Pelodiscus sinensis: one gene and its partners. The protein of the gene in region 4 purifies or fractionates together with the protein of the main gene of each other region. This does not show direct contact. Links are inferred from orthologs where the notes say so. Each region holds a gene or a part of one and is shown on either strand. Other genes may lie near its edges.

The links. Proteins that work in one complex are often made in the same cells at the same time.
Region 1: the proteins of PPP2CA (region 4) and INTS2 purify together in Homo sapiens (affinity purification with mass spectrometry; 4 studies listed by BioGRID and IntAct, with this or other methods). This does not show direct contact. The link is inferred for Pelodiscus sinensis from reciprocal best matches to the Homo sapiens genes PPP2CA and INTS2.
Region 2: the proteins of PPP2CA (region 4) and TIPRL purify together in Homo sapiens (co-immunoprecipitation; 4 studies listed by BioGRID and IntAct, with this or other methods). This does not show direct contact. The link is inferred for Pelodiscus sinensis from reciprocal best matches to the Homo sapiens genes PPP2CA and TIPRL.
Region 3: the proteins of PPP2CA (region 4) and AXIN1 purify together in Homo sapiens (affinity purification with western blotting; 4 studies listed by BioGRID and IntAct, with this or other methods). This does not show direct contact. The link is inferred for Pelodiscus sinensis from reciprocal best matches to the Homo sapiens genes PPP2CA and AXIN1.

What each region holds. Positions count from the first base shown.
Region 1 is NC_134731.1:6,070,163-6,077,511, reverse strand, and holds the start of INTS2 (integrator complex subunit 2), read right to left. Parts: upstream 3,019-7,349; 5' UTR 2,920-3,018; coding exon 2,877-2,919; exon of another isoform or gene 2,816-2,876; intron 2,210-2,815; exon of another isoform or gene 1,888-2,209; intron 1,424-1,887; coding exon 1,117-1,423; intron 21-1,116; coding exon 1-20. UniProt on the Homo sapiens protein: Component of the integrator complex, a multiprotein complex that terminates RNA polymerase II (Pol II) transcription in the promoter-proximal region of genes.
Region 2 is NC_134711.1:149,454,659-149,462,405, forward strand, and holds the start of TIPRL (TIP41-like protein), read left to right. Parts: upstream 1-4,729; 5' UTR 4,730-4,860; coding exon 4,861-4,961; intron 4,962-7,747. UniProt on the Homo sapiens protein: May be a allosteric regulator of serine/threonine-protein phosphatase 2A (PP2A). Isoform 1 inhibits catalytic activity of the PP2A(D) core complex in vitro. The PP2A(C):TIPRL complex does not show phosphatase activity.
Region 3 is NC_134726.1:4,493,971-4,501,810, forward strand, and holds the start of AXIN1 (axin-1), read right to left. Parts: upstream 3,019-7,840; 5' UTR 2,912-3,018; exon of another isoform or gene 2,817-2,911; intron 2,700-2,816; exon of another isoform or gene 2,403-2,699; intron 2,334-2,402; exon of another isoform or gene 2,038-2,333; intron 393-2,037; 5' UTR 302-392; coding exon 1-301. UniProt on the Homo sapiens protein: Component of the beta-catenin destruction complex required for regulating CTNNB1 levels through phosphorylation and ubiquitination, and modulating Wnt-signaling.
Region 4 is NC_134727.1:28,175,668-28,182,814, forward strand, and holds the start of PPP2CA (serine/threonine-protein phosphatase 2A catalytic subunit alpha isoform), read right to left. Parts: upstream 3,009-7,147; 5' UTR 2,788-3,008; coding exon 2,686-2,787; intron 1-2,685. UniProt on the Homo sapiens protein: Catalytic subunit of protein phosphatase 2A (PP2A), a serine/threonine phosphatase involved in the regulation of a wide variety of enzymes, signal transduction pathways, and cellular events.

The sequences.
Region 1 (7,349 bases), on a different chromosome or scaffold from region 4:
TGCCTCCTCCCAGTTTGTGTCTAACAAATACATTACAAGGCAAAAACAGATGTTTAAAGAAAAATAAGGCACAGAAATTAGTAGCATTTCTTGTTAGTCTGTTCTTATACCATGCTCGTCACCGTAGTATCTGAGCACTTTAAATATTAAAGCAAGAACAGCAATCTACACTTGTTTTGCTGGTTCTACGAAACTTTCTTGATAACTTTACTAGTGGCCGCAGAAAACTATCATGATTTTGATATTTTCAAATAGCAAAAAAAAAAAAAAAAAAAAAAAAAAAAAAAAAAAAAACACATGACAAAAGCTTATGCACACTCAAATAGGTGTCTCTATCCCATTATTATCAAACATTTATATTGGTGTCCCCTTTCACACAGCAAGTGTCTGAGTGGGACAGCCTTTATAAATTAAAAAGGTTTCTTTTTATATTTAGCACTATTATAACTGCTGGAGGTTGAAGCTGTGTTTGGGGTAGAGACTGAGAGCTTGTGACCCCCTCATTTAATAACCTCCTATACAATGTTCCCTCTAGTTTTTTCCCCTCCAAGCACAGAATAAATGTTATGTGCATGGAGGCATGTGTTGATGTATGCCACCAGTAGAAACACAAGCTGCTGGCTGTGGGCAGCATTTGAATCTCTCTTTGGTGGCCGCCCAAGCACTCAGCTTACAGGGAACACTGCTCCTGATCCCTCCATGTCATGACTCCCAGTTTGAGAATCCCTGCTCCATTCCCATACAATACACAGACCACAGCCAAAGACTAGTGCATCCTTATAGTTCCAAGGGTTAATCCTTCTGGTAAAATGTGACTAGATAGCACTTCCTTTGAAGAGCATCAGTGCCCCCTTGCATAGCTATGGTGGTGGAGGAAGGGCACTGAGTCACTGAAAAAAAGCAATAAATTCCATATCCTTCCCTGCATGCTGTCCTATCAAGCCCAAGATACAAGAAACACGCATGGGATGTGAAACAATAATGTAGCAAAATGCCAAGTAACCAGGCCAACAGGATTCACTACTGTTATTACATTCTGGAAGAAGATGGCAACATTCAGATGAAATATTCATACATACACATTTCTAAATCATATTAAAAATGGGTTTTAGCTACCTAAGCTGTTGCTCTTTGTTTGCATCCTGCTCCAAGGCATGAAAATCCACAGACAACAAGGCAACAATTGAGTTGACAGCTTCCACTCCTGAAAGGAGTCGAAGGATAAGTTTTTTATCCTGAGCCCAGCTTTGGCTCTGATCAGCTGGGGCACAAAGGGCCATTCGCACCAGGCAAGGCAACAAAAGCCTTAACTCTGGGTCACTTAGTGCTGCCAAGCGCACAACATCCACCTTCTGCATTGCTTCAAATGCGTAGGGGCTGACAAACTGAAGGCCAGAACACTCTGCCATTTTTACCACCTGTCCTAAAGACAAAATAAAAACACAATTATCATCAGAAGAGACAGATTGCATCACAGCTTTTGACAGCTCTAAGCTGGTAAATGTGGTCTAGCAATTAAAACACAAGACTAGGAGTCAGGATTACCAGTTCTGCTCCTATCTGAGACATCTGGGTCATGCCTCCCATTAAAGAGGGAGACTGCATCAGGACTCCTACTTTCTATTTGCAGCTCTGGGAGGGGAGGAAGGTCTAGTAACCAGGACTTCCAGGTGCTATTTTCAACTGTCACTAAGTGCTCATAAGAAGTTAAGGTTGTGAGCATCTCCAAGATGCTTTGAGATACTGGGACACCAGGTGTCCAGAAAGGGACACATCTCCAACACAGCCAAGAAACCCTTGGGATCCAAAGCAATGATTTATTATAACTGCATTCATGTCCGCCACTTCTATTACAGCTCCCACCAACGGCCTACTCCGCCTCCTCACCTCAGAGCCAAAAAGAGCAAAGGATGGTGGTGCCAGGGTTGTGAAAGGGGAAGGTACACGAGACAAGAACAGGGCCAGGACCGTGTTGCAGGGGTTGATCTGCTCGTGGCCCTGCACTGAAAGCAGAACCCAGGCACCCAGTTTTGAACCGTCCTCCTTCCAGACTGAAACAGGACCCAGGCAGTAGGTCCTGGGGCCAGGCGGGGAGAGAGAGAGAAAAGCTCTGACAGCCTCAGTTCCCCCAGGACCCCAGCATCTGGCACCATGGAGGGCTCTAACAACCCCTCCCCCACTCAGGACCCGGGGTGCAGCCCCTCGAGGGGGGCTCTAACAACCCCTCCCCCACTCAGGACCCGGGGTGCAGCCACTCGAGGGGGGCTCTAACAACCCCCCCCACTCAGGACCCGGGGTGCAGCCCCTCGAGGGGGGCTCTAACAACCCCCCCCCACTCAGGACCCGGGGTGCAGCCCCTCGAGGGGGGCTCTAACGACCCCCCCCACTCAGGACCCGGGGTGCAGCCCCTCGAGGGGGGCTCTAACGACCCCCCCCACTCAGGACCCGGGGTGCAGCCCCTCGAGGGGGGCTCTAACGACCCCCCCCCCCACTCAGGACCCGGGGTGCAGCCCCTCGAGGGGGGCTCTAACGACCCCCCCCACTCAGGACCCGGGGTGCAGCCCCTCGAGGGGGGCTCTAACAACCCCCCCACTCAGGACCCGGGGTGCAGCCCCTCGAGGGGGGGCTCTAACGACCCCCCCCACTCAGGACCCGGGGTGCAGCCCCTCGAGGGGGGGCTCTAACAACCCCCCCCACTCAGGACCCGGGGTGCAGCCCCTCGAGGGGGGGCTCTAACGACCCCCCCCCACTCAGGACCCAGGGATCCGAGGCTTCCAGGGAGAGTCGGGGCAGAGGATCCAGGACTCTCACTAACCTGGGACCCGTCCCTCCCCCCGAGACCGGCAGCGGCTCCGCCCCGCCCACGCCGCCGCTACCTTGCGGCCGGGGCAGCAGGCACCCGTCCCCTATTGATGACATCACACCCGTCAGCCCCCTGATGACGCCGTCAAAGGCTTCTAGGAACGTTCGGGCGTGGGAGGAGCAATGGGCGGGACAACCGACAGGCCAACCGGACGTGACGTCAGGAACGGCCGTCGCTCGGGTGGAGCTGCTTGCGCGGGGGAGGGAAGCCGTGGTTGACGTCAGCAGAAGGCGTTGGCGGCCTTCCGCCTCAGAGGGGGGGGGGCGAAAAGGAGAATAGCGTCTGACGTTCGGAATAGCGTCAACGGCGGCGCGGTGACGTTTCGGGACGAGCCAGGCGTGAGCCGGCCTCAGGCGGCCCCTGGGGCCGAGAGTGACGTGCCGCGGAGCCAGGGACCCGGCCGCTGTGGGCCTCCCCGCCCCTCCCCCGCCCGCTGGAACCTTGTGCCGCCCCCTCCCCCCAAGCTACGGATCATATTCAGCGGGGGGGGAGGGGGCGCTTCGTCTTGTAACGGTCAGAAAGCGCGAGTGGGCCGCTGGCCCCTTCAGGCCTGTCTACGCGAACCCCTCCCCCCCCATTCGAACTAGCAGCGCCGGGAGTAACGACTTCAACTGCGGCTGAGAGCCCACAGGACGCGTCTTCTCAGAGCGCTTCTTTCGAAAGAGCGCGCCCAGCCAGGCAAGAGCCGCTCTCGCGGGAGCGCGCCTGGGCCAGCTGGATGCTCGTTCCAAAAAGCCCTGGTTGCATTCAAGGCCTTTTCAACACCAAAAAAAAAAAAGGCTTCGTTCTTCCTAAAATGAGGTTTGCTGCTGCCGAAAAACAATCCCACTGCATCTGTTATTTAGTGTCGGGAGAAGGCCACGGCAGGCTAAACAACAGCGACTTTTTTTTTTTAAATAGCCTTAAAGTCGGTCCGGTTACAGCCAAAAGCAGCAGGAGTAGAGATTGAGAGAATAGGGTTGGTAAGACGGAGACACCGCTTATTTCCAAATAACTCCCGAATGTAGCCAGGGGCTTGGAAACTAACCAAAATACATGTGGAGAGAAGCATGAGCTTTCATTTATATATGTGTATACACACAGTATCGATACAGTTTTGGTTGTAAGGTAGCACAGGACTACTCGTTTAAAAAAAAATACAGACTAACATGCAAATCCCTGAGACTTTATAACTTTTTTTTTTTTTTTTTTTAAATATAGAGAGAGAAGCATGGATAAAATCCAGCTAGTAACTAAGATGTAGCAGAAAAAAACACCACCTGTAAATTGTAGGACTGGTGCTAATTAGGCTAATCAAGTGGGTTGGAAGTGTCCAATTCTAAGCTTATGATGTAAAAACCCAGTCGTTAAAAGCTTTGGGAGACTAGTGTTAGAAGTGCACAATGACAGCTCAGGTACGGGTGCAGGAAGGTTATAAGTATCCTAAAAGCTTACCATAGATCATTCACTTTATACAGCTTGGCTATGTCTAGACTGGAATGATTTTCCACAAATGCTTTTAACTGAAAAGTTTTCCATTAAAAGCATTTGCGGAAAAGAGTGTCTAGACTGGCATGGACGCTTTTCCGCAAAAGCATTTTTTGCGGAAAAGTGTCCATGCCAATCTAGACGCGGTTTTGCACAAGAAAGCCCCGATCACCATTTTCATCATCGGGGCTTTTTTGCACAAAACAGTTTTTAGCTGTCTACACTGGCCCTCTTGTGCAAAAACATTTCCGGAAAAGGGTTTTTGCCCGAATGGGAACGTTGAAGCATTTGCGGAAGCAGCACTGATTTCGGACAGTAGAACATCAGTGCTTTTGCGCAAAATCAAGCGGCCAGTGTAGACAGTTTAGACGCAGCCCTTTAGAGGGGTAGCCCTCTTAATCTGCATCCACAAACACAACAAGGAAGCCTGTGAAGACCAATATTTCTTTAGGCATAAAGATGGGTCTTTGCCCAAGAAAGCTTGTTGGAGTGCAGCTAATGAAATGGGGTTTTGCCCACAAAAGCTTGTGCCCAAAGAAATCTGTTAATCTTTGGATATCACAGCATTCCTTGGTTTTGTTAATACAGTTTTCAATCTTTACTATGCAAAAAAGCTACATTTTTCTAACTTTTACTTTAAACGAAAAGCATAGAAACAGCTTCCTTATCAAGTTTTAAAAAATTATTTCCCAGTAGTTTTCTAGTAATTTATATTTAACCAGCGGGGGGGGGGGGGGGGGGGGGGGGGGAGGAAGAGGCGGGGAGAGGGGAGTATCTGCTGCTACCTGATTGCATATCTCTGGTTCCAAACAAGGGGTGTGGTTGATGGGTTAGTTTGTAATTCTGAAGGTCCTAACCCTGAGGTTTTTGTGTATTTTGTGTCTATGCTACATTGCAAAAATGCTTTTATTTTAGTCATCTTCAATAAGCTACAACTCCTTCCTGTTGTAGAGAGAGCAGTGTTCCCTATAAGCTAGATACACATGTGGCAACTCAGGAGAGATTGAAATGCCACTCAGCTCATTAGAGTACAGTTTGGCTGCATCTAGACTGGCAAGTTTTTCTGCAAAAACGGTGGCTTTTGTGCAAAAACTTGCCAGCTGTCTACGCTGGCCGCTTGATTTTGCACAAAAGCACTGAAGTTCTATGGTCCGAAATCAGTGCTTCTTGCGCAAATGCTTCGACGTTCCCATTCGGGCAAAAGCCCTTTTCCGGAAATGTTTTTGCACAAGAGGGCCAGTGTAGACAGCTAAAAACTGTTTTGTGCAAAAAAGCCCTGATGACGAAAATGGCGATCGGGGCTTTCTTGTGCAAAACCGTGTCTAGATTTTGTGGAAAAGTGTCCGTGCCAATCTAGACGCTCTTTTCCGCAAATGCTTTTAACGGAAAAACTTTTCCGTTAAAAGCATTTGCGGAAAATCACACAGTCTAGACGTAGCCCATGTGTTTCTAGTAGCAATTCACAGATACATCTTGGTGCACATAAAAAATGTATTCTATATATTAATGGGAAAAATCCTGTACATGAGTGGAAAAGGTTGGAGGGAACACTGAGAGAGGATCGTACAGTTGAGTGTTGGAAATAAAGAGAGACGCCACAATCAAGGCTTCATGAATAATTTATTCCATTTGAATTTTTTTTTTTAAAAGTATAAACTTTTTTCATTTCCTCAATCACAATTTGTACAACTCAGTGTTTATGGCATTCGGCAGCAATAGTGTTTGTTCCTTATTTGATTTTATGTCATATTAAATAAGACGACTTGGACCATTAAACGTCACTGCTGAGCAAAACCTTAAAAACTTCCCTTAAAGTGACCCAGCTATTTTGAGAAGATTTATGAAATTGACATGTCCAGTAATGATGCCACAATTTGCAATTTAAATCCAATAGCTTTTCAAGGTCCTCAAATCCAGTTTATTTGGAAAACCTAAAGCTATATTAAAACTTCCTGAAAAAGTGACCCTGAGGATTATTGTAGGTCCCAAATCCAGTTTTACTGTAAATGAAGTTTCACTCAATTGAAAATAAAGTACACCCACATATAAGATTTTCTAAATATCAGACATAGATCTATATCTTTCAATTAAGATGAAAGTAATTAATTTTTCACTTTAGAATTTCTGTCAAGATAGTTTGTCATATAATTTAACTTTGAGAAACTGAGTTCTTAGAGGAAACCCAGGCCAAAATATTGTTTCATGTACAATTACATGGATAATATTAACAGACTGATATGCTATGCCATAGACTGTTGTGCAGCAAATTAAATGGTGCAATAGCATTTAAAACTTTTTCATCTATTAAATTTGAATGTTTTTAAATAATGCAACATAATATTGATAGTACAGTATTAACAAATAGTGCTTGATTAAAGACATCTGCAAATCTTTGTAGCAACACATGAAGTTAAGTCACCATGGAAGATAAATAAAGATTAAAAGAATATAGTAATAATCTGTGCCATATTGACAGCTGAGTAAGAATATAGCTGAAGATTTTAATGATAACTTTAATTTTAGCCATTTCAGAAAATGTTAGAAAGTTTTAAAATGTACAAGCTACTTTAAAAGGCAAGGATTTTATGCAAGTACACTTGGCGGCCTACTGGCCAAACAATATGTACATGAATCTAATTCATACCGTGTTAAGTCCAGATGACAACGGCTTGCATAAAGAAAGTATGGCTAGATTTTTTTTTTGACTGGCATGTATATAATTATAATTTGAAATCCCAAAATACTTAATAGGTGAACTTCCACAAAATGCTACTAAACTGAGAGCTGCACAGACCAACACTAGGAACAAGCATTTTGAGATGTTGCCACCCAAACTGTCAATGATCTGTATAAACTCTGTTATTAAGCTTGCACCTTCTGTTCAAATCTGCTGTTAACTGGCTGTGACAATATAACTGTTAGAAAGTAGTCAAGTGGAAGGGTTAATCATTAAAGGAATTTGATTCATAAGATGGAAGTTACTTATTTAGAAGTAAGCTAAATATGGTAATTAGCTCCT
Region 2 (7,747 bases), on a different chromosome or scaffold from region 4:
TTACTCAGTGTGCAGCTTCATAGGTCATTTACATTCCCTCACTCAGGTCTTAAATTCTCAAAGATTATTTCCCTGTGGTTTCCCATTCCCCTACACTTGGGGTTCTGGGTGTTAGCTCAGTGGGGAGAGGGAGGAAAAGATTGGGGTGAACACCACAGAACTGAAGCCTCACACCTTGGCACTTTCTACAGGCCTGAAGTATGCCTCCTGCTGGTTTGAAAATGTTTACCAGAGCTCTGCTAGAGTGGGCTCTGATGAATTTGAGCCCTGCACTCATCCCATGCATTTCCTAGGAAACCTACTCAATTAACAGTTTACACTGTTTCAAAAAGTTCTTTAATGTTCCTAACAGCAATAAACACAGTCCAGAAACCCTCTGAGGAGAATATGGGGTTGATCCCCAAGGAATAAATAGTTAAACCAGCTGACTGTATACAATGTTATTGTGCTATAAAATGTCAAATAAGGTCTTTTATGAAAGCTTGTAGTGTAATGTCCCTATGTTTTATGTAAGTCACATCTTTCCAGGAGTTACATACAATCCCACAGTAACACATACAGGCAGTCCCCGGGTTACGTACAAGATAGGGACTGTAGGTTTGTTCTTAAGTTGAATTTGTATGTAAGTCAGAACTGGTACATATTGTACCCCAGGTGTCCCCGATTCAGCGCTGCTGAAACTGACCAGCGGCTGACTACAGGAAGCCCGAGGCAGAGCTGCTTTGCCCCGGGCTTCCTCGAATCAGCTGCTGGTCAGTTTCAGCAGCAGCTGACTTGGGGACACCTGGGGTAGAGCAGCTGGGGTGCTGCCAGGTTGGTCCCCGCAGCGCCGAGGTGCGGTGCTGCGGGGACCAACCCGGCAGCGCCCCAGCTGCTCTGTCCCAGGCGTCCAGATTCAGCCACTGTTGAAACTGATCAGCAGCGGCTGAATCGGACACGCCTGGGGCAGAGCAGCTGGGGTGCTGCTGGGTTGGTCCAGTAGCGCCGCACCTCGGCGCTGTGGGACCAACCTGGCAGCCCCCCAGCTGCTCTACCCCAGGCTTCCTGATTTAGCCGCTGCAGAAACTGACCAGCGGCGAGAAAAGCCTGGTCTGCTGGGGAGTGGGGCACACTAGCTGCGTCCCCCCCCCCCCCAGCCGACCAGGGAGACGCGGGCGGCGGGACCGCTGAGACGCGCCACGGTCCCGCCGCCTGCGTCCTCCGCGGCTTTGCTCCGCGTCTCCCTGGTCTGCTGAGGGAGCCCCCCCAGCAGACTAGGGAGACGCAGAGCGGCTTTTCTCGCCGCGGGGTTCCCTCACCCCATTCGTAAGTAGGGATCCGACATAAGTCGGATCCACGTAACCCGGGGACTGCCTGTAATTGCATTTGTAATACAATGGATCTCAGAAGTATTGCATTTAGCTCAGTACAGTTTAATACATTGCAGAAGAGGACACTCCCCACTATTATAGCAACACTTCTCTAGTTTGGTGCATTCCCACCCTCAATAGATGGAAACAGAGGTAGAAAGAGGGTCAAATTGCAACTTCAGCTACATCAATTGTGCAGCTGAAGTCGAAATAGCTTAACTCAGCGTTTGGTGCTGTCTACACAGCAGGAAGTTGAAAGAAGAACACTCTCCCTTCAGCTTCCCTTACCCCATGTGAAATGAGGGTTACAGGAGTCGGAGTAAGAAGTCCTCCAGCTTGACATTATTTTGAAATACAGGCTTGTAGTGTAGACATGCTCCTTGTTATTTTGGAATAACATCAGTTATTCCAAAATAATGTTGTTGTGTAGACGTACCCATAGTGAAATTCATGTTTAGTGTATCTGCCATCCCCATTTCTGTGACTCAGGAATCGTTTGTTGCAAATTGGTAAAGGGCATAGAAGATACATAGGAGTTTACGGGGATCCCATAGATGACTGGTGCTTCCCCATAATGGGGGGACACTAGCTAAGGGGGAAGACATGCGACCATCCCATGTGTCTCTCCTTCAGTGACTCCCCTCCCACTTTGTGTTACCCAGCCCCATGCCACATGAGGGTGAGGATTCTATGTCCTTCTTTCTCCTGCACCTCTCTCCCACCGCATTTGCTACTTTCTCTGCCCTTGGCAGTTGGGCAGAAATCAGGACACAGCTGTTTCTGCCTAAAAGGGACTGAATGGAAGGTGAGAGAGAGAGAGAGAGAGAGAGAGAGTGTGTGTGTGTGTGGTTGTGCCCACAAAAGCTCATGATACCATCTACATGTTTTGTTAGTCTCTAAGGCTCATCTAAACTACATCCTCTTCCGAAAGAGGAATGTAAATGAGGCTGATCAAACATGCAAATGAAGTGCAGATTTACCAATCTTGTGCTTCATTTGCATAATTGCGGGCGAGCGCTTTTTCGAAAAAGGGTTTTTCGAAAAAGAAACTTCAGTCTAGAAGGAATTCTTTAAAAAAAAACCAACCCTTTTTTGAAAGAGCCTGTACTCCTGAAAAAATGAGGTGTATGGGCTTTTTTGAAAAAGGGCTTTTTTATTGAAAGAACCCCATCTCAACTGCGCTTTGTTTTTTGAAAAACCCTTTTTCGAAAAAGCATTCTCCCACTATTATGCAAATGAAGCACAAGATTTGTAAATCTGCACTTCATTTACATTTTCAGTCGGGCTCATTTACATTTCTCTTTCAGAAGAGGAATTTAGTTTAGACGAGCCCTAAGGTGCAGCAGGACCATTCGTTGTTTTTTAACATTTTTATGTATGTGAGAGTGAGCCTCCAAATCAGACTCTCTTATGCAGAAGCAGCTGACAAATGTGTTGTTTAGTTGGGATAATAATGCTTCCTTTTCTGGCTGATCATATGTTTCACAGTGTAAATCGAATTGCATTACTTAACCTGATGCTAATGAAGATGATGACTTCACGTAAGATCAACAAGAAATGTTTTATCCCAAAACAGCATGTTTCTATGAGTAAAGACAATAAATATTGGGAGTATAATGGGAATATTATGATATACCTGAATCCTTCACCAAGGAGACAAAACTGTCAGGATGTTTAGCCTTACAAAAGGAGGGTGACAACCAATGTTCCCTCTAATCTTTTCTATGTGTTGATTATTTCCATCCATGTGCAGAATACATTTTTATGTGTATCAAGGCATTTGCGAATAGGGTTGCCAGATGGTTTAACAAAAAATACCGTACCACCCAAAAAAACCTGGGAAGAAATTCCGTTAAGAAAAAAAAAACAGCAAAAGTTGTTGAGCAAAAAGAAAAAAAAAAGGGATTGAGTAGGGCCGAAATACAGTCGCGGCCCTTTAGTTCCCAGCCTGCTCCATCCTCCCCTTGCCCCAGCCAGCCCAAGCTGTGCTGCGTGTCCCAACCACCCTTCCACAGACACCTGAGCTGGGAAAAACAGAAAATGTTCTGAATTTTTTTACTGGATGGAAGGCGCAAATACCGGTGGCTGTCCAATTCAGTACCGGACACCTGGCAACCCTATGTGTGAAGGTGTACCACTAGCAGAAGCAAAATCCTAGATGTGGGAAATCTGCTAATCAGCTGGAGAGCATTTGAAGCTCTCTTTGAGTGGCTGCACAGGCGCACAGCTTACAGAGAATATTGGTGCCAGCCAACATGGCTGAAAAACACTGAAGACTTCATTAAACAATACAGTATCCTGATTGGGGGGGGGGAAGGGGGAGAGTAGGGTGTCCAATTCCATCCTGAAGCCCTTCCCCCTCCTGCCATCCCCTTGCCATCTCCTCTCCCTGTCACTCTGTTCCCTGAGGACTGGGCCTCAGGGATTACTTGGGGAGCCTCGCACAGGGTGGTCCCCCAGCAGTAGGGTCCCCCTGCACTCCCTTTTTGAAGGCAGACAATTGTAGAACAATTGTAGAACAATCAGAAGTGTTAAACTGAATGTAAAGAAATGAAACCAAGATAGGAACATAGTAGGGGTATCAATAACAGTAAACACTGTGATTGGGATCATTACAGTGTTTCCGAGCATTAAAATTCTGAAAATATAGAATACAGACATAACAATATTTAGTATATTTCAGAAATACAAATTGCAGTTTTTTTTCAATGATTGATGGCAGTGGTAAGCTTCAAATTTGTTTAAAATTGTAAATACAGGGCATCTCTGCTATTAGTTCGCCCCATATATATCCGTTTCATACTTAAATCGTGTGCAACACAAACCAAACAACCACAAACAAAAACCCCAACCAATTTGTGCAAATGGAAGTCAGCTGCAGGAGAAAAAAAATCACCACTTTGGGTGTAAGTCCAAGTTTTTTGGAACAGAACTTGGACTTGTAGCGAGGACAGCCGGTACATCAATACAATGTGTTCAACTCCTGTCTACAGCTATCAGGGGGTAGGGAAACTAAAGTTTAGCGTTTCATTTTAATTGTGGAAAACACTGGTTTTTATGAGCAGCTAATGCTGGGGTTCTGCAGTCCCGGGCCAGTAGGCTGTGTGGGGTGCCTGTTGTCACACCCAGCCGCGCCTTTCCAACGCTTTGACCGGCCCCTTCTCAACTCCCTCGTGCTCTGCTAAGGAAACGCCTCCCCGTGCCGGACCCACAGGCAGAGGCGCTGTGGTGGAAAGGGAGGGGCGGCGGCTCTGCGAACGCAGGGACTGCGGGAAGGGCGGAGCGCGCCTGTGTTCCCCGCCCCTCCAGGCCCCGCCCCCTCGAATCCCCGCTGCGCCTGCGCGCGTTTCTCGTGACGCTGGATGACTCTACCCCCAGGCCAGTCGGTGACCCCGGAAGCGGAAGTGCAGGACGGCGGGGAGTGCGGATTCCGGTTCCGGCGGCGCTGGTGCCGCTGCTGGGGGGAGCCCAGCAACCGCCTCTTCTCCCACCTCCTCCTCCCGGCCCCGCCATGCTCCCCGTGTTCCAGAGCAGCCGCCGCGAGTTCACCTTCGGGCCTTGGAAACTCAGCGCCGCCCAGACCCACATCATGAAATCTGCCCAGGCCGAGAGGTGGGGGCGGGCTGCGGGCCGGCGGGGGTTGGGCTGCCTGCGCCCGCTCTACGGGCTGCGGCCGGGCGGGCGCCCGTGGACGCTCTGAGTTGTCAGCCTGAGGTTTGAGCCCGGGTCTGACTCGGGTCAGCAGGCCCCCGGGATTTGGGCGCTAACGTCTGGGCTCCTGCCCTGTCATTCCGCAGTGTGGATACAGCTTAAACCACAACCCATGTGCGGTCTGTGGAGAGCAGCTTGGATGCAATAGCACAGGTGTCGGACCTCGGGCCAGCGATTGTAAATCTAGGTGTTTGACGCCATGTAACGGTTGCTCAGACATGAGCTTGGAAACATTAAGGCTAAACTAGAGACCTTATATAATGGCACAGCTGTACCGCTTTGTCTCCTGTGTAGCTAGCTATGATGATAGAAGGGCTTAATTAAACTGACCCCCCGCCCCCAAGCACCGGGAGCTAGGGATGTAAAATCCTGTTCAATAAGTTAACCAGTTAAACATTAAGCTGCTGTTACCTGGTATGCATCACCTGTTAAGGGTGATGCTTACTGGGTAGTTGGTTAACCAGTTACTGCATCCTGCTGGGGATGAGAAATGGTGTCACCAGTAGGGATGCAAAAGTATAACCATTTAAATGGCTAGCCCATAAGCCTGGTGTTAGCAGTTAATATTAACAGTTATATGCAGGCTCCCACCTTGCTCCTGGGGAACCGGCTGCCACCCTGCACTACTGGCTCTAGCAGTTATACAACTACCCACTTTTTAACATCCCTAGTTGGCAGGAGAGGCTCTACCCAATGACATAGCACTTGCTGTATCAGTGCTTTTGTGGATTAAATGTATGTTGGTGGGGGTATGTGTGTTCCACACTCCTGACCAATAAAACTTGTACTGATAAAAGTGTTAGTGTAGACATAGTCTGAGTCCATAACCATTGGGCCTTCAGACCTGGGTTTACTACATAGTGTAGGCAAAAACCTTGGCAAAACCCAGCTATCTTCTCAAGAGCCACAGCAAAGAGCACTACTAATAAAAGGGAACCCCAATAAATGTAAAGTGCATATTGCCACCATTTGGGGTCAAGAATTTCTTTTGCATCCTTTGTCTGATGTTGTGGGTCATCTTTTTGTTTGAGAGGTAGGGATGTGGTGTTTTTCTTCTTCTTCCCAAGGACATTTATTGTGGACTCTTCAGCTCATGTTTTCTTACCAAATGGACCACATGCCTTTTCAGATGTGGCAACAATTTCTGTTTCTATAAAGCAGTAGGAGAAACTGCTTCCTTCAGACTTGACTATTGTTTGTTTGAAACCTGAATGTTAAACTAAATATAAATAGTTCAGATACTAACAGTAATATTTGAGTTTGTTTACAAGCAACTTTTTTTTGATAGTTTGTTATCTCTGGATCTCATATCCTATAGTAAATTAAATCTGTCATACTTCAGCTATTTTAAGTCTCACCAATATAGGACTTTCAGATTGTTGCATTAATTTTTGTGAGATTCATTTGCTTATCATAAACTTATTTTGGAAGGTACTCTTTGTATAAGTCTGCCTTTTATTCAAATGTTTGTAAAGTCCTGAATAGACTTTTAAATTAAAAATGTCATTTTATTGAATTGCATTCCATAGCAAAGTGTATGATAAACATGAGGAGATGAAATCATAAGGTTATGACATTATTTACCAAACTATCTGGGAGTCATAGTCATACAGCCAGATCGCATGGTGTTTGTTGTGAGCTGCACAAACACAGTGCAATTCTACTCTTAGGAGCATTTTTTGCACTCACTTTTTTCTCATTCTATCTGTGCCTGATGTGTCTATTTACAATTACAGACCGGTAAATTTACCAGGTAAATTAGTTGAAACTATAGCAAAGAATAAAATCATCAGACACATAGATGCACATAATTTGTTGAGGGAAAGTCAACATGGTTTCTAAAAAGGGAAATCATTCTTTACTAATCTACAAGAGTTATTTGAGGGGGGCCAACAAATATGTGGACAAGGGGGATACAGTAGATATAGTGTACTTAGATTTCTGGAAAGCCTTTGACAAGATCCCTCACCAAAGGCTCTTAAGTAAAGTAAGTTGTCATGGGACAAGAGGAAATGTCCTCTCATGGAGTGAAAACTGGTTAAAAGACAGGAAACAAAGGGTAGGAATAAATAGTCAGTTTTCAGAATGGGGAGGGGTAACTAGTGATATCCCCCAAAGGTCCGTACTGGGACCAATGCTATTTAACCTATTTATAAATGATCTGGAAAAAGGGGTAAACAGTGAGGTGGCAAAATTTGTAGGTGATGCTAAACTGCTCAAGATAGTTAAGAACAAAGCAGATTAACAAAGCAGACTGTAAAGAGCTCTCACCAAACTAAGTCAGTGGGCAACAAAATGGCAAATGTAATTTAATGCTGGTAAATGTAAAGTAATGCACATTGGAAAAAATAATCCAAACTATACATACAAAATTATGAGGACTGATTTAGATATAACAACTCAGGATAGAGATCTCGGAGTCATTTGTGGATAGTTCTCTGAAAACATCCGCTCAATGTGCAGCAGCAGTCAAAAATGCAAACAATGTTAGGAATAATTAAAAAGGGATAGAGACTAAGAGAATATCTTATTGCTTCCATAAAAAACTATGGTACACCCATATCTTGAAGACTGTACAGCTGCAGTTACCTCATAAAAATATATTGGCATTGGAAAAGGTTCAAAAAAGGGCAATACAAATGATTAGGGGTTGGAACAGGTCCCACATGAAGAGAGATTAAAAAGAC
Region 3 (7,840 bases), on a different chromosome or scaffold from region 4:
GATTTATCCCATCTTGATCATCCAACAAGGAGTGCAGCGACTCGGCCCATCTCAAGTAGGGTGGAGTCGGAGAAGCACTCCCTTCAGGCTCGTACCCCAAATCCAAATCAGAGCGCCTTGGGGTTGCTGTAGAAGTCTCATTTTTAATCACGTCACTTTTCCCAGAATAGAAGCCATGGCTGATTGGCCTTGGATCCGTAGAAACTAGCTCACCCTCCTCACCAGGGACCGGTGGCCTTGGAGCATCTTCGGTGAAGCTTCCCCCAAGATCCAAAGGGAAGCCTTTCCCGTGGATATTCATTTTTATGGTGCCTGCTTGCACAGAAACAAGGAGGGACCAGGCTAAGCCTCAAAACACCAGTATCAGGAGTTCCAGAGTGAATGTGTTTGTCCTGTTGAAACAAAACGAGAACAAAATTAAAAATACTGCAGACAAAAATTCTAACGTGACTATTTTTAGAGCACGCCAATATTTCTATTACAGAGGTACTGAAACAAACAATCCTAAAAGGATTTATATATTTCATAAAGAGGAGATTTACTTGAATTTTAACATGTATATCCTAAACTCATAAAATAAGCAGTAGTTTTACATAGCTAAATACTAGGTAAATTCACATCTCCATAACAATTTTGGAATTTCTTTCAGAGTATGAAAAAATTCTCTGAAAATACTCCCAATTAGCACTAAAAATCAAGAATATAATGTAATCAAGCCATATACGTTCCAATACAATCACCATTACACACTATGAAATTCCCCTCCAGTCCTTGGCACATTTTGACATCACCTCAGCACTTGAAAAGCATTTTGAGCATTAATTAGGGTAAGTGAATAATATCCCTTAGTGAAATTAAAAGCATCATCATTCCCAGAATATTTTGCATATTTCTCAATGACACTCCTGTAATAAAGGAACATAATGTAAAAATTGTGTGTATGGCACAGCACTATTGAATATATCATCATACTTCATGGAGCAGGAGCTATTTACTGAAGTTTCACATAAGCTAACAAACATTATTTGCTGCTGACCCTGAGAACAGTCCTAGCCACCACCTGAGAAGAAATAATCAAACAATATTTAAAAAAGTAATTTGAACCAACATGGTGCAAAAAAAAAGGTATGTCTGGAGACAGGAGTAGAGTTGTACAACCTCTGGTACCTACTTGTGTACTAAATCAATATAACCTAAATTCTTTCAAGACACTAACAAAAGTTGAGTGTTACAAAATAATTCTGGGTCAACTAAAAAACCTGCAAAAGTGGCGAGGAATCCTGTGGCACCTTATCGACTAACTGAAGTGTAGGAGCATAAGCTTTTGTGGACAAAGACCCACTTCGTCAGATGCATGTGAGTCATGCATCTGACGAAGTGGTCTTTGCCCACGAAAGGTGCCACAGGACTCCTCGCCGCTTTTGCAGATTCAGACTAACACGGCTCCCCCTCGGATAAAAAACCTGAATGCTGTAAAGCTGCAGCTGTCTCACAGAGCACTTCTTTAAATGGACTAACTCAACTGCATGTGAAAATATACCAAGGGAAATAATTGTGAAATAAAAGCCACTCTCACAAAGCAAAGCCCACACAAACCAATGCATCTTTTGGACAACTTTCCCCGAGCTGAACAAATACAGCTAGAAGGTGCCCTTCCTGGCCTTCAAGACACCCGACAGTTTGCGCATCATCACAAAACAAGACAACATGGGAAACAACCAGGCTGAGTGATTTTAATTCCCAGGTAACTGTGGGTTTCAACTGGCTTTGTGATCCTGAGGCCAAGAGATACAGTTACTCAGCACAGCTACTGGGCCAAAACACACACGCGCGCTATGCTGAGGTTTGCCTGAACACCTGCAATTTCGGATCCAATCATTCCGCCCTCTGCCCCGTTCGCGGTGCGTTTCTCGTCCCTACGAGAGCAGCCAGGCCCCGGGGTTCATCCGAGCCCCACCACACGGACCCGCGAGTCCCCGGCCCCCCGTGAAACGTCGCCCCCTTTCCCAGCGCGTTGCCTCGCTCGCCCGCACTGACCCACAAGCCATTTTGCTCCGAGGCGCGGGCCAGGCCCGGGTGCGACTCGCCAGGCCAGGGCGCCCCGGCCCACGCCGCGGGGACACACGCGCCGCCTGAGGGCCCGGCGCGGGATTTCCAGCCTGTCACCTCCCCCTGCGCGGATCGGGGCTCCCGAGGGGCGGCCGCTGCCTCCCGGCTCCCCGGCCGGGCGCTGACAGCAGCCGCGGCTCCGCCTGAGCCGGCAGGACGCGGGGCCCGGGACCCCCGGAGCCCGGCCCCCCGCACGCCCGGCCCGGCCCCAGCGGCCTAGCGGCGGCCCGTCCCGGCGGCCCCACAATGGGGCGGCCTCCCGGCTCGGCCTGGGCCTGGCTCCGCTCGCTCACCCGCTCGGAGCAGCCGCGGCGCGGGGCCCGGCCCATGCGGCTCAGCCGCGGCGGCAGGCGGGGAGCGCGGGCGGCGGCCGCCGGGGAGCAGCGCAAGGCGGGCGGCCCGGGACCCCCATGGCCGCGGCCGCGGGCTCTGGCGGCGACACGGAGAGCGGCGAGCCCCGCACGGCTCAGCCCAGCCGGGAGAGACCGGCTCCGCCGCGCCCCCCGCGCCTCCGCCCGGTACTGCGGGAGAGCCCGAGCCCGCCGCGGGGCCGGGAGCCCGAGCCGGGGGGCGCAGCAGGGCCCCGGCGGCTGAGGAGGAGCGGGCGCCTGCAGCGCGGCGGGGAGCCCGGCCGAGCCCGCTCCGGTTCCCCGGCGCTGGGAAGACGCGGAAACGTCCGAACTGTGCCCGGAAAACGCAAAACCTGCCTCTCGGCGAGCCGCGGACCTGGGCCAGCTCCCGGGGCGGGGATCTTCTAAGCGGCATCAAACCCCCCCGTCCCCATCTCCGCGGCCACAGGCACCTTCAGACAGGCAACCCGAGCGTGTCCCCGCAGCAGCCTGCAGGGAGAAACGCCACCAGCGCGCTCGGCTCCATCCCCGGCTTCCCATTAGCTACCTCTGCAGCTGCTGCACACGCCTGGCTCCTGATAAGGAACAGGCTCCAACTCTTTCCTCCCGCCTCCAGTCCTAGGTCCTGGGAGTCAGGAGGGACCAGGGAAGGGGGGAAAGGGAAGGCCACAGCCTCAGAGACCCAAGTTGGTACCTTGGCTCCAACTGCAAACACTTCTGCGGTGTGGCAGAGGAAAGCCCTGGTGGGACTGAGGCAGAGGCACAAAAGCTAATGCTAGGCCCTAGCTCCTGGAGTCCTGGTAATCTCACAATCTCTGTTTTAGTAGACACAAACAGTTAGGTTGTGTCTACATTGGCATGATTTTGCGCAAAAGCGAGCGCTTTTACGCAAAAACATGCTGCCTCTCTACACTGGCGGGGAGTTCTTGTGCAAGAACACTGACTTCTAATGTGTGAAATCAGTGCTTCTTGCGCAAGAACTATGATGCTCCCGCTCAGGAAAAAGGCCTCCTCTTGCGCAACTGTTCTTGCGCAAGAGGCCAGTGTAGACAGGCAACATGCTTTTCTTGCGCAATAAACCCCGATGGCTAAAATGGCCATCGGAGCTTTCTTGCGCAAGAGAGCGTCTATACTGGCACGGATGCTTTTGCGCAAAAGCACATCTCTTGCGCAAAAACACATGCCAGTGTAAACGCTCTCTTGCTCAAATACTTTAACGCAAAAACTCTTGCGTTAAAAGTATTTGCGCAAAATCTTGCCAATGTAGATGTAGCCTGTACGTCTAGCCTGCCTGGGTGGAATTGTTTGAAAACAGGGCAGAAGCGTCACGGATGCCAGAGTCTGCAGGGAGCCTGACTCAATAACTCTGAGGAGGGGATTATGGTCTGTGCACCCCGCAGTGTGAGCCCCCCTGCTCTGAGGGGCTTGGCCCACCCACTTCAGGTGCTGGGACAAGAACAGGAGAAACCTGTTGCTCACAAAAGGGAGGAAAACTTGCTGCTGCTTCTAGGCAAGAAGTGGGCTCCGTGCTGCTGTACCTGCCTCTCCAAGCGTGGAACTGAGGGCACTGCCACGTCAAGTGCGCAAATGGGGCCACAGGGGCCAATTGTGGGGCTGTTCCCAAAGGCCTGGAGAGCCTTCATCCAACCCAGCCCTGGTGGGAGACCCGAACAGAGCGATCATCTTTGCTGATTGCAGTAAGGGAAAAACCCTGTGAAAAACAAGGGACAAGGCTTTATTTGAAGGGACATTTCCCTTCACATCTGTGATTTTTCTCTTGTGTACATTTCTCCTGCCTGAAGCATACCAGGCAGTCAGTATCGGCTTCAATGTCGTGTCAAACGGTACTTATCCATTTTAATACATTTCAGTACACCTTAAAATAGAGCAGGGACAGGTTCCCACTTGGCTGTTGGGGTGAGATTCAGCTCTCAGGCTTCACAAATCAAAGAGGAAGAAGATGGACTTTGTGGACAGCGGGCAAGATCCCTGTCCCCACAAAGGAGCCAGTGGACAGCCTGGGTCCGTCAGCTCTGACCCCAATTAGCTGGGTTTTTCCTTTTCTTTCCCTTTATTTGTTTGGTAGCTTGTTCCTTCAAATTAATAATAAAACTCAAAAAAAAATTCAATAGGCTTAGGAGCCTGGGGGTGGACCATGGAATGAGGATGCCAGCTACCCCAGTTACCGCTCTCCATAACAAAGTTAGGGCAGGATGAGCTGCCTGCCTTCCCTCCACCACCACCTGCCTTATCAAGTAGCTGCTCCCTAATGAGTCAGTTCTCATATAGCACCTAGTTCCAGCGCAGGATCCTGCTCGGCATGCTGGGAACAGGGGGGAGTAAAACAATCAGAGGCTGTGATTGGCTCAGACAGCAGGTGGGTTCCCTTCAGCCCCTGAAAGGGGCGCCAGTGACTCAGCTGATGTGCTGATGCTGGGGTGACTCAGATCCCAAGGGTGGGGGAGGGTGTAGAATAGTCCTGTTCTTTTTCTCCTAGTGGCTCTGATCAGAAGAACCTCAGCCAAGAAGGATCCCTTGGAAAGGTGCCAACCAGAGCAGTGCCCAGGGAAAGCCTCATTCTCCAGAAACCTCTCTGATTCCAGAGCTGAAGCTGGAGAAGGAGGTCTTATCAGATTCCCAAAGTTCAGTAGGCAACACAGTTTAATACCATGTGTCTGCCTGAAAAATAGTCCAAGCCTTACATGTGTGTCAGTGGAGGAGGGGATACTTGTCTTATCAGTCACTCTTTTCAGCTCAAACAGCTACACCTGGTTAAAAAACAGACAGTCTAGTCTCTGGCAGGGGTCTCAAGTTCCCAGCCCATGGGACATCTCTGGCTGGAGCAATTGCACAATCCAGCCTGGGACTCTGGCAGACTGGGGAGGGGGATTGTCCATTACGGGCCCCCAAGCCCCGCCCCTTCATGCCATCACTCCTCACTCCACCCATGGCACCCCATCCTGGAGGATGGGGCTTCAGGGATTATGGAGGGAGGGGGCCTGGTGTGGCTCAGTAGCAGTGGATGGGCCCCCCTCACTCCCTGCAGCAGCAGGAGTAGCAGGGGAAGTGGGGCACACTGGTCAAACGCACTCGCAGGTAGTATAAGGAGCATGCCCACTGCAACACCAGGCACCCTCCTCCCCATGATCCCTGAAGCCGCATCCTTGAGGGATGGGGTGCCATGGAGCGGGGAGAGGATGGGCAATAGTGGGAAGGGGCAGGGCTTGGGGCAGTAATGGACAGGTCCCCCACCAGGCATACTACACCATATTGCACAACTGCTCTGGCTGAGGATGGCCTGCAGGCTGGGAGTTTGAGACCTGTGGTCTCCGGTTTCCCTAGTCAGATTAAATATATTCTGCAGCTGGAGTCGACATACGTTCTCACCAAGAAGTGGCATTTTCGGGGAGCCATGTGAAAAGCAACATGCACTATAACTCTGAGAGGGGCATAATTGGAATCATGTTCTACCTAGATATAGACTGTTTTTTTAAAAAAAACCTAATGGTTAAATATAGGGCTGTCAACAAATCAGTTAACTCACACATTAGCTCAAAAATTGCAGCTTTAATCACACTATTGAACCATTGAATACCAACTGAAATTAAACATTTTGGATGTTTTTCTACATTTTCAAATATATTTATTTCTGTTACAACCCAGAATGGAAAGTGTACAGTGCTCCCTTTCTATTATTTTGATTGCAAATACTTGTACTAGAAAAATGATAATAGTATTTTTAAATTCGCCTCATGAATACAATGGTGCAGGCTATCATGAAAGTGCAATTTACAGATGTTGACATTTTTGTTAAATAACTGCACTCCAAAACAAAGTAAAACTTTAGAGTTTACCAGTCCACTTGTTCCTACTTCTTGTTCAGCCAATTTCTAAGATAAACAAGCTTTTTTTTCAGTTATGGAAGGATCTTACAAGAAGGAGGGAGGAAAATTTTTCTCCTTGGCCTCTGATGATAAGACAAGAAGCAGTGGACTTAAACTACAGCAAGGGAGGTTTAGGTTGGACATTAGGAAAAACTTCCTACTTGTCATGGTGGTGAAACACTGGAATAAATTGCCTAGGGGGGTTGTGGAATCTCCATCACTGGAGATATTTAAGAGCAGGGTTGGGTAGACATCTATAAGAGATGGTCTTGACCGTGTTTGGTCCTGCCATGAGGGCAGGGTACTAGATTGATGATCTCTGGAGGTCCCTTCAAAGTTCTCGTGTTCTATGATTCTATAAAGGTGCCCACCTATTTACAATGTTTCTTGAAAGTGAGAACAGGTATTTGCATGTCACTATTGTAGCTGCTATTGCAAGATGTTTATGTGCCAGATATGTTAAATATTCGTATGTCCCTTCATGCTTTGGCCACCATTTTAGAGGGCATGCTTCCATGCTGACAACACTTGTTTAAAAAAAGAGTGTTAACATTTGAGACAAAACTTCTTGGGGGAGAATGACATGTCTCCTGCTATATAGTTCACATTAGCGCAGTCTTGGATGATGACGCAGCACATGTTCATTTTAAAAACATTTTCCCTGCAGATTTGACAAAACGCAGAGATGGTAACAATGGGATGGCATCTGACTCACATGATGAAAATGAAAGTCAGCCTGCACTGCTTGGGATCTTTATCAAGCGGAACCTATTATCAGCATGGACAAATGTCCCCTAGAATGGCAGTTGAAGCATGAAGGGACATATGAATCTTTAGCACCTCTGGCATACATTGTGCTGCCGACTGTAGCAGTGCTATGTGAACGCCTGTTCTTTCTTTGAGGTGACAAGAAGAGGGCAGCATTATCTCCTGCAAATGTAAATAAAGTTGTTTGCCTGAACAAGTGGTTGAACAAGAAGTAGGCCTCAGTGGACTGGAGTTTTATATTGTTTTGTTCTTGAGTGCAGTTTTTTTTTGTCCACAATTATAGATGTGTAAGTTCAATTTTCAGGATAAAGAGATTGCACTACTATACTTGAATTAGATTAACTGAAAATACTATATGTTTTTAATTACAATATTTGCACTCTAAAAAACAAACGTGAGCACTTTACACTTTGTACTCTGTGTTGTAATGCAAATCAATATATTTGAAAGTGTAGAAAGCATCCAAACCTGTTTAAGTAAATGGTATTTTATTATTGTTTTAACAGCACAATTAATCACACTTTTTTTAATCGCTTGCCAGCTCTAGTTAAATGTTACCACATTTAAATGTGTAATGTTTCCAGGCTCAGGAAGAGTTCTGCACAGAAAGGCAGCTCTGTGCCTATTACTCATACATGTGGGTGTGGGGGTGTTAGCCGGGAGAGATTTGCTCTACCAGGTAATCGCAGCTGAATAGAGCTTTTCCTGTTTAAAATGCAACGCTTCTCT
Region 4 (7,147 bases):
CTTCTGATTTGTAGTATGGATTTGAACTTCATCTTCCATCCACCAGGATAATGACCTGCCCACTAAGCTATAATCATTTTCACTCTCTCTAAAAGCCAAATTTATATATAGTGGAACAACTTCAGCACGAGATACTGAAATACCAACCATGGAGTACCATTTAACCCAATGGCTACAGCATGGTGCTGAGAGGAGAGAGACTGGTTCAAATATCTACTCCACATCAGATAAGGAGTTTTGAACCTATGTGTACCACATCCTCAGTGAACTAACCACTGGGATAAAGGTTATAACAGGGTTTTTCTGTTGGGGGAGGAAGCAATAAAGGGCTATAGGTGTTTAATCCCAGGAGAGGATTCCATAACTGTGAACCTCAAATGGAGCTGGGCACCTAACTCTCAGTGGGCTACACACCATAGCCCTCCCCTTGGCATTTTCTATACTCAACTTGCTGGCTTCAATGGATTCTATTCTTAGGTACATAGTATTCCCCATGCTTCACACAGGAAAACCTGTGCATTTAACTCAGGGTTGTGAATTCCATCTGGAAGCAACAGGTCTAAATTCAGATACTGCAAGACTGAGTCCATTCCCTCTCTGGCCAATGGGAGCTGTGGAGTTTGCGCTTAGGACAGGAGGCAGTGCACGGACACATTCCTCCCCTCCACAGTCCTGCAGGAACATGCCCATCCTGCACATTTCCACAAGTGAGGAAGTAGCCTCCTGCTGCAGCCCTGCTGTACAGCCAAACTTCTAGATTGCAGGAGTTGTTGAATGAGAAGAGCTGATGATCAGTGAGGCCTGCAGAACTTCTGGGGTACTCTTGGGGGGAGGGTGACTCTTCCCCCATAGGGTCCACATATCCTAGGTTGAGAAATACTGTACTGAAGTACTTTTCAAGTGACTGATCAAGATTACAAAGAATTCAGAAAGTAGCAGGTTCAAACACACTGTAGTGACTCCAGACACCTCAAATCAGGCTCTTCAGTATTAATGATAAAAATTAAGAGTATTTACATCAGGTGTACAACAGTAATGTTTCAACTTTGCCACCTGAATTCCTTAAAACACTCCACAAATATTCTCCCCACACTATAGTTAAATGCACACCCCTATGCTATGCCACAAAAACTTTCAAGTCAACATACTTGATCAGTATTCCACATTAAAATGCTATTTGTGGAAACACAGATTGGTATGAAAGGAGGAGAGGTACTGTGGCCTACACAGAAATTGTTTCTAAAACACAAGAATGAGAATGCTGCATCATTCATGGCCCCAAGTGATCTTATCATGGTGCATGTCTCCATTTACCTATTTGCAAATGTCTAGGATTTTAGTGACAATAAGTCAGAAAGCCATTTAGCATGCTATACTGCAAATAGACTAGTTTATGTAGAGCAAATTCTTTTTTTCCCTTAAAATTTTCATCTTTAGACATTAAGTCACAATCTGAAGTGAAAATAAAATGTAAGAGATAACTATAACAGCTTTATAAAAATTGTAACGAAAATGTACTTGTGCAACCATTAAATCAACTTACCCACTTTTATTTTACTACAGTATCAAATTATTATTCATTCTGTCTAAATTCTACAGGGCTCCTCTAAACTCAGGAAAACCATGAGGAATGACCACCGAGACAGGTAATAGCCAAACCTCACCATCCATAACTACACAAAGTAAAACTTCATATTACCTGGCTATATTTAGAAATGCCTACAAGGAGAAACCAATACCCTAAATTAATCTAATTCCCAATTACAATTTAAAGGCTGTTCCAAACACATCAAAGTTAAAAAAAAATGTAATGCAATGGCAGTCAAAAAATTCCAATTCCAAATTACTTTTATGGAGAGGAATTCCTACACTACCACCTTAAAATGAAATTTCCACTTTTAATTCCTGCCATTTTGGTGGACTTTACAAGAAAAACAAACATGCATTAACTGTGCCAAGGGGGATGGCATTTTGTTCAAGTCTTCCAACAGGGCAGCAATTACAGATTGGGTCTGACACTAGTAGTGGCATCCTAACATAGCAGACATAAATCTGTGGCCACTACACTCCCATCTGCGTCTCATACAACTGCCACCGCTATTTTCAACCCTCCCCCCTTTTATGAGAAGCGGGGCTGGGGCATTGGAGGGAGGAGGGTGGGCGTTTGGACGCTGCCTTACAGATTTGCCTTTCTACCTCTCTCGCACGGAGGAACTAGGAGGTGACACCGGGAGCGACACCCCGAGCGCCGAGCACGGCTGGTGCTCACAAGGGTCTCTTCGCCCCGCAGATTCCCTGCGAGAGGCGCCATTTTAGGAGGCAACGAACAGCAGCCGAAGGAGTCGGTCTCCTAGCGGAGCGGCAGGGGGCGCAGAGCTGCCCGGGAGGAGGCTACCCCCGGCTCGGCGCTGTAGGACCCGCTATCTCCGCGGGGTGACAGACCCGCCGGGGCGCTAGGGGGGAAAAACCGGGCCCGCCCGAGGAGATGCGGCCACGGCCACCCCCCGCTTCTTCTTCGCGCTCCTCACGCAGGGGCTGCTCCGCGGGGAGCCCCCCCCCCGCCACAGGCCCCTTCCCCAGCCCCCTCTCCTCACCCTGTCAGAGGCGCTTCCGCCGCCCGCCCCCAGCCCGGACTCCCCTGCCCAGGCCTCGCCCCAGCTCCCCCCGGCCGCGGGCCCCCCGTACCTTCTCGCAGAGGCTCTTCACCTGCCCCTCGGACAGCTGCTTGCACTCGTTGAGCTGCTCCACCCACTGGTCGAGCTCCTTGGTGAAGACCTTCTCCTCCATGCCGCCCGCTCGCGCTCCCCTCCCCGGCTCCTGCCGCTACCGCTCGGCTCTGCCACCCCTACGACCCGCTCCAGGCCGCGGCCTCACCGGACACCCAGGCAGGTGCGGTGGCGGCAACCGACGCTCGCGGCTAGGTCCCGGCTCCCGGCAGCAGTTCTAGCGCTCTACACTCGTTCTTCACTCCCCTCCGTGTAATGGCCGCCGCGCCCTGACGTCACCAGCTCTGCTTCCCCCTCGGAGGGGGGAGGGGTAGCATAGCGCGTGCGCGTGATACCTACCACAAGAGGGCGGGGCCGGCCGAGGAGAGGCGGCGCATGCGTGATGTTCGTAGCCAAGTGGGGAAGCCCGAAATATCAGTGCATGCTTGCTTTACAAAGGGCGTAGCGATGTCGGGATTAGCGCATGCGCAGTGCTCGCACCGATGTACGGGCGCATGTGCAGTGGCTGAAGTAAAAGGAAGAGAATGGCGGGACAGCGGCGCATGCGCAGCACCAATAACTAGCGAGGGGGGGGAAAGATGTCTGAACTGAGCGATTGGAAGCGATCAGAGCATGCGCAATGTGAGGAGGGGGCAGGTTCAGAGCGTTGTAATAAGACGCCCGCTGCAGAGCCTGCTTCAGATGCTGCCCCTCGCTCTGTGGACCCCATCACACCCCCGCCACCCATAGTATTCCCGCCACTCCCGCTCCAGAGACCTCCACACACACAGTACTCCCGCCACTCCTGCTCCAGAGAGCTCCCACCCCACAGTACTCCCGCCACACACCCTTCCAGGGAGCCTCTCCCCCGCCACACAGTACTCCTGCCACCCCAGCTCCAGGGGACCTCTCTCCCCCAACACACTACTCCCGCCACATCCACTCCAGGGAGCTTCTTCCCTTCCCAATACAATACTCCTGCCACCCACAGTCCAGGGAGCGTCTCCGCCCAATATAATACTCCCGCTATGCCCATTCCAGTGAGCCTCTCCCCCCCCCCCCACCGCAAAATACTACTCCCACCTAGGGATGTAATAGTATAGTTGATTAACCAATAAGCAAAAGTGTATAGGTTAATGCTATAGAATACACGCATTCTCCACTCCCCTCCCTCCCCAGTACATTTTTTCTAGCAGGCTGGCCAGCAGCCCAGCTCAGTCCCGACTTGCGCCAGGTCTGGGACCTACCCCTGCTGTAGCTCTGCATTTAAAGTGTATTAGGAGCTAGGCGGGCAGGCAGCCTGGCTCAGTTCTGGCTCATGTCGGGTCCGGGAGCTTAAACACCTACCTGGATAGGGGCTGTATCAGGCAGCAGTGCAGGGCAACAGGCAGTCAATCCATTAAGGGAGCTGGTTTTTAAACTGGCTCCCCTTGTGGACCAGCTCCCGCCTAGCACCCCGCATTGCTGCTTTGGATACAGAGGTAGCAGTGTGGAGTGGCAGGGGGCTCCTTGGGAGTGGAACCAGAGTGCACTGGCTGCCGTCCTCGCTCCCAGAGGCTATAGAATAGTCAAGTAATGGATAAGAATTCATGGGGTTAAATGACTATTCAATTAACCCAGGGGTCTCCAAACTACGGCCCGCGGGCCGGATGCGGCCCGCGAGGCCCTCTCATCCGGCCCGTGGAGACCGTCCCTGGGGTGCCGCCGAACGGGCCCTTCTTGCCGCGGGGGGGGGCCCTGTCAGGGGTGTGCGGCGTGTACTCACGCCACGCCGGGGCAGGAGAAGCGGGCCGCTCCGCTGACAAGCGGCCACGCGGCAGCAAACGGCGCAGGGGGCGGGGGTTAGCACGGGCGGCGTTCCCCCGCCCAGACTGACAGGGCAGCCGGCCAATCAGGGGGCAGGAGAAGCGGGCCGCTCCTCTGACAGGTGGCCGCGCGGCGGCAAACGGCGCAGGGGGCGGGGGTTAGCACGGGCGGCGTTCCCCCGCCCAGACTGACAGGGCAGCCGGCCAATCAGGGGGCAGGATGGGCGGTGGTGGTAACGCCCGCCCGGCGACGTGCGGGGGAACGTGAACCCCGGCGGGAACTTTAAAAAGGTGACCCCTTCCGCCCGGGGTGGGGAAGGAGTGAGCGGTGGCAAGCAGGAGGGGAGGACAGCGTGCAGAGGAAGGGGAGAGCAGGGGGAAAAGCCCCCCCCCCCTTCCGGGAGAAACGGATTCGCAGGCGAATATTCTGAAGAGGAAACATTAAAAGCAACAATCTCTCTACCATAAGTGGATATATTTGCACACTATATTCAGGTAAGTTTAACTTAAGAAATCATAAGAATTTTTAAAAATTGTTTCGGGTCATTTGCAGCTATTATTGCGACAAAATTAGTTCGCATAATCAGGTTTTTTGAGCGATATTGTGTGCAAGATACTTTCAGTTTCATTATTTATTCATGTTGAATTCACTTTATTTTAGTGCCCAGCGATGGCCGAGAAGAGGAAAAGAAAAATAGACGATGAGTGTCGGCAATTTCAAGAAGAATGGAGTTTGAAATACTTCTTCATCAAATCCGGCGAGAAAGCATTGTGTGTGATTTGCAACGAAACCGTGGCTGTGATGAAAGAATACAACCTGCGCCGTCATCATCAAAGCAAACATCAGGAGAAATATGTACAGTTGAAGGGTAAAGTCCGTGCCGAAAAATTTTCTAAATTACAAAATCAACTCACATCTCAGAGGACATTGTTCAGTAAATCCTCAAATGAAAATGAATCCTTAACTAAGGCCAGTTATAAAGTTGCCTACGTCCTGGCTAAAAGTGGCAAACCCTTTACAGATGGTGAAGTAGTGAAGGAATGTTTGTTGGAAGTGGCTGAGGAACTTTGCCCAGAAAAGTCAAAACAATTTGAAAATGTAGCTTTGGGTGCGAATACCATTGCCCGCCGTGTTGCAGACATGGGTGAAAACATTGTGACTCAAATAGCGAAAAATGCAAGCAAGTTTCGCCATTTTTCAATTGCAATGGATGAATCGCTGGACAGCTGCTCCACCTCTCAACTGCTTGTGTTCATTAGAGGTGTGGATGAAGACATGAACATAACACAAGAGCTGGCTTCCCTACATAGCATGTATGGCACTGTTACTGGAGAGGATATATTCAATGAGTTGAAAAAAACATTTGCTGATTATAACTTGGACTGGACTAACCTCAGTTGCCTGACTGTTGATGGAGGAAAGAACATGAGTGGCATAAAGAAAGGCTTGGTTGGACAAGTGAAGCAGATGTGTAATGAGAAAAACATTATACAACCAATGTTCCTGCACTGTATTATTCACCAGCAAGCTTTGTGTGCTAAATATGTGGACATTAGCAGTGTACTGAATCCTGTGGTGAAGATGGTGAATTTAATAAGGTCACATGGGCTCAACCATAGACAGTTCAGAGACATGTTGAAAGATACAGACACAGAATCACAAGATTTACCATATTACACAGCAGTAAGATGGCTAAGTTGTGAGAAAGTTCTGAGCAGAGTATTTAAGTTAAGAAAGGAAATAGGTGACTTCCTGGAAAGTAAAGGCAAGCCACAGCCATTACTGTCTGATGAAGAGTGGGTATGGAAATTGGCTTTTGCTGCAGACATAACTAGTCATTTAAATTTTCTGAACCTAAAACTACAAGGAGAGCAAAATCTAGTTTCTGATCTATACACCCACCTAAAGGCCTTCAGATCCAAACTTGTCTTGTTTTTGGAACAAGTACAGGCCAACAACTTGACGCACTTTCAGCAGTGCAAGGTATTCATGGCTGAAGCAACAGCTGAGTTCCCCACGTCATTTGCATGTGAGATCATCAAAGACCTCCAGCTGCAGTTTCAGCAGCGGTTTTCTGACTTGGATTCAAAGGCAGAAGAAGTGAGATTGTTTCAAAACCCATTTGAAGCAGATGTGGCCAGTTGCCCAGATGAACTGCAGCTGGAAGTCATTGAGTTGCAAGCAAATGACCTCCTTAGGGACAAGTTCAAAATAGGACTGGTGGGTTTTTACCAGTTTTTGCCCAAGGAAGACTTTCCTAATGTCAAAACTTTTGCATCAAGGTACCTTTCAATCTTTGGAACAACATACCTGTGTGAACAAACATTTTCAAGAATGAAATATGTGAAGAACAATTTGAGAACAAACTTGTCCGATGATAATCTCAGGTCACTGTTGATGTTAGGGACAACAAATCTAAAGCCAGAAATGTCTGCTATTTTGGCATCAAGGAAACAATTTCACCATTCACACTAATACAGGTGTTCATGTGTAGTGTATCAATGTGTTATTAAATAATAACTGAATAAAATAATATTAAATAAATAATTAAAAACAACATCCATGTTTTGATTGTTTTTTATTTGGACCTCAAGTGTGTAGTCGGCCCCCGAACTGCTGTTTGATAGTTAATGCGG